Canis lupus familiaris: one gene and its partner. The protein of the gene in region 2 purifies or fractionates together with the protein of the main gene of each other region. This does not show direct contact. Links are inferred from orthologs where the notes say so. Each region holds a gene or a part of one and is shown on either strand. Other genes may lie near its edges. The genes, in order: KCNAB2 and KCNA5.

Region 1 (3,234 bases), on a different chromosome or scaffold from region 2:
CCAGGCAGAGCAGAGTGGGCTGCCCTGCATGTGGTCAAACCCAGTGTCTAGCTACGGATGCACGACCTCAAGGCCTTCTGGGGTAAGGACAGAGCCCCTGGCAAGGAGGACAGTGGGGCCCTGGAGGGACCTGGGCTGGAGCCAGCTCCTCAGACCCCTCCCGTGGGCTTGGGGCTGCTCTGGGCACGAGGCTCATCAACTGTGTGCAGGGAGGCAGCTGGCAGGGTGATGAACTCAGACCCCCAAAATTCCCATGGGCCCCAAACTGATAGTGAATCCCCCTGGATCTCTGCCCCTGCCAGTAAGGGTGGGGGTGGGGGCCAAGGGACAGCACGGAAGGCCCCAGAGAGACCTGCTGGGGCAGGTGGTGGTGCTGAAGAAGGCGCAGAATGAATCTGAGGTCAGGCCCATCGTAAAATCCTGGGAGCCCTTGACAAGAGGGAAGTGGAGGGGGACCCCACTGGGGAGGCCCTGCCCAACATCCAGTGCCCCAGCAGAGGGGGCCACAGGAAGGGCCAGCCCTGGTTTCCTCTTTCCCACCCCCAACACCAAGTGGGGGTTCTCAGCAGATGAGAGGCCAGCCCTGCTGCCCCCAGGACACAGGCCAGGCCTGGAGGCATCTCTGGGAAAGGCGGAGGCTGGGAGCAACTGGGGTGCTTTCTTCTTGGAGGGGGAGTAGAGGCTGTAGGCGGGCTCGGGCGGGACCGCTCCAACATCCTGCCCCATCAACGCGGCCTCCCCGGCACGGATCTGAATTCGGTCCCGCGAAGCAGTGAATGGTGTTTTGCAGCAACTTTTGAGATCTTTTCCCCACGAGGAGGACATCTTGCCGTGATGTTTTCTGTTTGATGCAAACCACACCCCTGACTTGGCTTCAAAACGGCTTAAGCGAGCGAACAGAGAGACTAGGAGGGAAAGAGAAACTGTCCGGGCAAGCGGCCGGGGGCTTCTTAGGATCTGTAGTCCTTTTTGCTGTAGGGTTTATTGCCCAAAATACTATCAATCTCGTGGATAATGGAAGACGACAGTTTCGGAAGGACCTGCGTGCGAGGACAGGAGCTAATCAGAATCCCACCCGCGAGACTGGCCCGGCCTGTGGAGGAGGCTGGGTGACAGTCTTCGGGCCACTGCTGGCCTGGCCCGCCTCATCGCATCAGACTCTCGCCCAAGCAGGTGGGCACTAGGCTGCTTCTGTGTTCCACAAGTTCTGGGGCAGAGAGGAAGCCTGCCTGGGTTTATCTCTGCGCCTCAAGCTCCAGAATGCTCTAGAACAGTCTAGAAGGCATAAAATACAGGTTCCAGGGCCAGACCCCTGATACCTTCACCCCTAAACTACTTTTCCTAGCCTTCCATACTTCAACCAACAGCAAGGCCATCCTTGCAGGTAACGCAAGCCTGTGGGCAGCCTCTTCTTGTGCTCACCCTGGTCCCCATCCCGTTGGCCTCACAGTCCTGAACATCCAGGATCCAACCCTCTCCGAGGAGGCCTCCTGTCACTTCCCTGCAGATCTCTCCGTGCCCTCCTCCTCTTCCCTAAAGGCTTTCCTCCACTCAGCAGCTAGGGGGAGAGGGATCAGGCCCTCCTCTGCTCTGGAGCGGGGGCTCCTGCTCACCCAACAACCAACGAAGTCCCTAGAACCCTGGGCACAGTCCCCCCTTCCCCTGCCCCGCCCCTCTGCTCCAGGCCACACCCACCGGCGCCTCCTTTGCTCCCGGCGGTTCCTCCAGGGGTTTGCAGGTGCCACTCCTCACCCTTGGAGCCTTTGCTTACATGTCATTTTTTCAGCAAGCCTACCCCTGACCCCCTTCAGCCTGGACCACAGCACCACCTCCCTTCTGCGCCCACCAACTCCCCTGCCCTTGCTCTGGTGCTTATCACCTTCATATTCCAATTTCCTCATTTCTTGCATTCAGAGCTCACTGTCTGCTCTTCCAGAGCAGAACTTTTGGTGGCTCGCTGATGTAGCCCGGACACTTACAACAGTGCCCGGCCCATTGTAGGTGCCCAAGAACATGGGCTGGACGAATGACTGACTAGGACCTTGAGTTCGGTTCAAGGGCTTGGGGGTGACACATGCACATGCACAGAGCCCCCCAACTCACCTGTATTGCTCCAATGTTCTCCATTAGCTGGTCTGCGCTGGAAGCACCCAGGAGCACAGAGCTCACTCCCTCATTCCTCAGGCACCAGGCTGGGGCAGTAGAACCAGAGGTGAGGGAGACACACCCAGGGCAGGGGCCCTTCCTGGTTCTTCCCTGTCCCTAACTGGGCCACAGAGATCCAGCCTGTGGGCCATGGGGCTGAGGGTGCCCAGAAGGTCCCTGGCAAGCCTGCCGCTTGGCATGCTGGGTGGGGGATTTGCCGGGGATGGGGCTGCAGAGGGCTCTGGGAGAGGCCTGGTACCAACAGCGTCCAGGGGGAGAAGTGGACCAAGTGCTCAGGGACGACCCCCCACCCTTGTCTCCCCATGAATGTAGGGGCCCTATTACCTACTGGCTAAGGGAGGCAGTGGCCCGCCCAGGCACTCAAGGACTCCTGACATAGCCCCAGGGCCAGTACTCAATCCTTCCCCCTCCACCCCCACCCTCACCCCAGGTCCTGTTACCTATGGCTAGCTGGGGGAGTGTGCAGCCCAGACGCTCTGCAATGGCCTGCAGCTCCTTCAGCTTGGCCTGCTGGCGCCGGCCCTCCTCACTCAGGATTTTGTCCTTCAGCCACTGGTAACCCTGGTTGTGGAGGGTGAAGAGCACAGCCTACAGGTGAGGGCAGGGCACCTGGACCTCTGGATGCAGATGGCTGATGGCTTGTGCCAAAGCAGCATCCGCCCCCCTGCCTAACCGTGTCCCACTGCAGAACAGGCCCGGGCAGTCAGAAGCATGGGGCCTGTCTAGTCTGAAAGCGCAAGCCTGTGGGGCCCCTGAGCCAGGCAAAGAGCCTGGCAGCCTGGCGAGGAATGCTTTGGCCTGTGGCCCAAAGGTCTGGGGGAGCTGTGGTTTCACCTGCCCCAACCCACGGGATTGCAACGCTTTCCAGGGGACTCCCTGACTTTGCTGTGGATGGGGCAGGAGTGGGTGGACAGGCCATCCTGCCCTTGAACCCGAGGCCCGGGGCTCCGTGCAGCGGGATTTGCCCCGACCTGGGCAGGCCTTTCTCTGCCTGCTCCTCATCCCTCAAGCCCTGCATTTTGGGATCCTCCAGAGGTGTGTCTGTGCGTGGGGTCTTGTCTTGTCCCA
Region 2 (3,829 bases):
GCGCACAGAGAAGGTCAGTCTTGCCTTTCTTCCAGAACATTCCTTGCCCTAGACGCAAAACACCGATACCAGATCCCAGAAAACAGAGAGGCTTACAGACAACAGGAACCAGAACAGCCATAACCAGGGTCTCTGGCTCTAATAGAATTATCACAGAAAAACATCACAATAACTCCCTCTTCCATAAATACAGCATTTCTGGAAAATGTATCCAAAATATCTCCATCTGAACTACAGTACAAAAATCCACTCACCAGCCATAAAAATAATATTTTCCCCTATACACAAATAAAATCATATGTAAAGCAAATTTGGAACACATGGAGGGGGTTACAAAATCCCTTGGGATCTTGGCTATTTAAAGTCATTTTTTGTTTGGGTTATCCCTCTGCTGGGTATAGGGAACTGGCTACAAATACATCCATTTCGTAGTGCTCACCATTTCAACAGCTCCTGCGTCATGGAATGTGGTACTTTTTAAAAATAGGCGACCCTTGGTGTCATGGAAAGAAGAGGAAAAATGGGGGATCAAGGGAGGGAGGGAAGGAGAGAAGTCTAAAGAGGGACAGACTTCAAGGTGGGCTTGAAATACTCCGTGGTATAAAGTCAGTACCCCGGCTCAGGAGGTCTCTGCTATCCCCACCCCACTACCACCACTCTGCCGGGGCTCCCCCTTACAAATCCGTTTCCCGACTCGTGTCCAGGCAGAGGGCATAGAGGGATCGCCGCAAGTCCACATTGCTTTTGGCCTTGAGGTTACACTTCTCCAGGGGGCAGCTGCCCCTTCGGGCTCCGTCTGCATTCTCCAGGGACACTCCAGCCTTGCACAGGGACCCCTTGCTCCAGCTGGTCTTCCGAGGGCCTCCGCTGTCCAGCCCTGTCCCCTGGCTCTGGCTGCCCTGCTCTTCCTTCAGAGCGGCCTGCTCCTCGTGGTCCGTCTCCCGGTGGTAGAAGTAGTTGAAGTTGGAGACAATGACGGGCACAGGCAGGGCGATGGTGAGGACCCCGGCGATGGCACACAGCGAGCCCACGATCTTGCCCCCCACAGTGACAGGCCTCATGTCCCCATAGCCTACCGTGGTCATTGTGACGACTGCCCACCAGAAGGCGTCCGGGATGCTGGAAAAGTGGGTCTCCTGGTTGTCAGCCTCTGCGAAGTAGACGGCACTGGAGAAGAGGATGACCCCGATGAAGAGGAAGAAGATGAGCAGGCCCAGCTCCCTCATGGAGGCCTGCAAGGTCTTGCCCAGGATCTGCAGCCCCTTGGAGTGGCGGGAGAGCTTGAAGATGCGGAACACCCGGACCAGGCGGATCACTCTGAGGATGGCCAGGGACATGGCCTGCTGCCCATTCTGGCCACCCCCTCCCCCGCCTGGCTGTTGCTCGGCCAGCTCGGTGCCCAGGGTGATGAAGTAGGGGAAGATGGCCACCACGTCAATGATGTTCATGATGTTCCGAGAGAACTCCGCCTTGCTGGGGCAGGCGAAGAAGCGCACGAGCAGCTCGAAGGTGAACCAGATGACGCACGTGGTCTCTACGATGAAGAAGGGGTCAGCCAGGGTCCGCGGCAGGAGAGGCGCCACCGTGGGGCCCGAGGCGGGCGCCAGGGCCGCGCTGCCGTTGGTCCCCCGGGCGGGCCCAGGGGGGTGGGGGGGCCCCGGGGGATGGCGCAGCAGCTCGCGCTCGTCCCGGAACTCGGGCAAGGTCTCCAAGCAGAAGGTGATGATGGAGATGAGAATGACCAAGACCGAGACGATCGCGATGGCCCTGGCGGACCCGGAGCTTTCCGGGTACTCGAAGATAAGCCACACCTGTCGCTGGAACTCGTTGCGGGGCAGCGGCTTCTCCTCCTCCTTGATGAAGCCCTCGTCCTCGCGGAAGCGCTCCAGGGCCTCGTCCCCCAGCTGGTAGAAGCGGATCTCATCGGCGAACACGTCCAGCGAGACGTTGACCGGCCTCCGCAGGCGGCCCCCGGACTGGTAGTAGTAGAGGATGCCGTCGAAGCTGGGCCGGTTGCGGTCGAAGAAGTACTCGTTCCGCAGGGGGTCGAAGTAGCGCAGGCGCTTGGCCGGGTCCCCCAGGAGGGTGTCGGGGAACTGCGCCAGGGTGCCCAGCTGCGTCTCGAAGCGCAGCCCGGAGATGTTGATGAGGACGCGCTGGTGGTGAAAGGACCCCGAGCCCGGGCCCGGCACCTGGTCCTCCGCCAGGCCCAGGGCGGGGTCGCCGTCTCCCTCCTCGTCCTCCGGGGGCAGCCGTCGAGGCAGAGGCAGCGCTGGCAGAGGCCGCGCTCCGGGGTCCGCTCCCCTCGGCGGGCCGCGCTCCCTGGGCTCCCGCTCCTTGGGGCCGGCGCCGCGCGCAGCCGTCGGGGGGCACTGGAGCTCCCCCCCTACGGCCTGGCCACAGCCTGCCCGGGCCTCACCTCCTCCCCTGACGGTCATGGCCCCGCCGTTCTCCAGGGGCACCAGGGCGAGCTCCATGGCCGGGGGGCAGGGGGCATGCTGCGCCCCCACTGACCGGCGTCCGAGCCCCCGCTCGCGCCCGGCTGGGCGCCTTGCGTGGCTCAGGCTCTTCTCCAGCCGTCGGCCGGCCTCCCTGCGGGGCGGGCTGGGGCTGCTGGCGCGATCCCCGGGCTCGGCCCTGACGTCAGGAAGCTGCTGCCCTGCTCGCTGCCTCGCTCTCCGCTCTCCGTTCCGGCAGCCCGTTACCAGGCAGCCAAAAGCCTCCTTCCAGCAGATGCAACCTTCAGCCGCCCCTCTCTGGCTGCGGGGCGGCGCTCGGCCTCGGCCTCCACCCAGCGCGGCTCTCCCGCCTCTTCCCTACCCCGCCCCGTCCCCTCCCCTCCTCCTTCCCCCGCGTCCCCTCCTGGGTCTCCAGCAGCGGGTGTCTCCCCGGAGGGAGGGCACGGCTGGGGCCTGGGGCGACTGGGGGGGGGGGGTGTGGCGGAGAAGGGAGCAGCCTGGAGGTGGGGGGAGGGAGGGGGGGGAATGAGAGGCTGAAGGAACAGGTTGTACCGACAGCGCCAAAACTCCCAGGGCAACCAGATGAGAATAGCTGTGGATTTCAGTTCACCTGGGAACCCGCTGAACGCCAAGTGGACTCCAGGGGAAATGAACTGCCTTGGGTTGGACGGATGAGACATGAAATAACAGCCCTTTTACAATCCTCCTTTGGAGGAGTAACTAACCATTCCATCTTCTTGGGGAAGAATTATGGACAAGAAGAGGCTGGGCAGAGCTATGGGCCCTGGGGATCTATAGATCTAGAGATACCTAGGGCTGGAGATACCTCCAGACCAAGGTGTAGAAGCCTCTCTCTTCCCACCCAAAGGTAACCGGCTGACAGCTGGCAGTGACCCCCTGCCATAGCCCTGGGACAGCCCTGATTCGCAGTCCAGAGAGTCATGGCCCGTGGGACAAATTCACTGCCTGGTCTCCTATTCCTGAGGACATATAACTCCTCACTCTGCATAAATCCGGTTTGCAAAATCCAGTAAGAGAGAAAGAGAGGAAGAGAGCTGTTCTCCGGTGAAGTTTGGAGCTGGCAACTGCAGCTTTGTGTGTGTGTGGGGGGGGGGGGGGGCGGGGGGGTATGTAGGGGGCAGGAGTGGGGCCCTGGAGGCTGTGGAATCCCAAGGTTGGAGGCCTCCACGGAGCAGAATAAGAAGCAATACTTACTTTGTTCCTATGATGTACCAGGTGCATTGTCGGCTCTTTACAATGACTGACTGGTGTATTCCTATAGCAATGTATTCTCTCAGTGCTCTTACTACCTCCACTTTATAGGTGAGGAAAATGAGACGCAGAGGATGAACTACATTGCTCGTGGGCAT

What was found.
Region 1: the proteins of KCNA5 (region 2) and KCNAB2 purify together in Homo sapiens (co-immunoprecipitation; 3 studies listed by BioGRID and IntAct, counting the BioPlex papers as one, with this or other methods). This does not show direct contact. The link is inferred for Canis lupus familiaris from reciprocal best matches to the Homo sapiens genes KCNA5 and KCNAB2.

The regions. Positions count from the first base shown.
Region 1 is NC_049226.1:60,500,680-60,503,913, reverse strand, and holds part of KCNAB2 (voltage-gated potassium channel subunit beta-2), read right to left. Parts: intron 2,728-3,234; coding exon 2,607-2,727; intron 2,193-2,606; coding exon 2,104-2,192; intron 1,041-2,103; coding exon of another isoform or gene 951-1,040; exon of another isoform or gene 1-950.
Region 2 is NC_049248.1:6,280,109-6,283,937, reverse strand, and holds KCNA5 (potassium voltage-gated channel subfamily A member 5), read right to left. Parts: upstream 2,478-3,829; coding exon 675-2,477; downstream 1-674. UniProt on the Homo sapiens protein: Voltage-gated potassium channel that mediates transmembrane potassium transport in excitable membranes. Forms tetrameric potassium-selective channels through which potassium ions pass in accordance with their electrochemical gradient.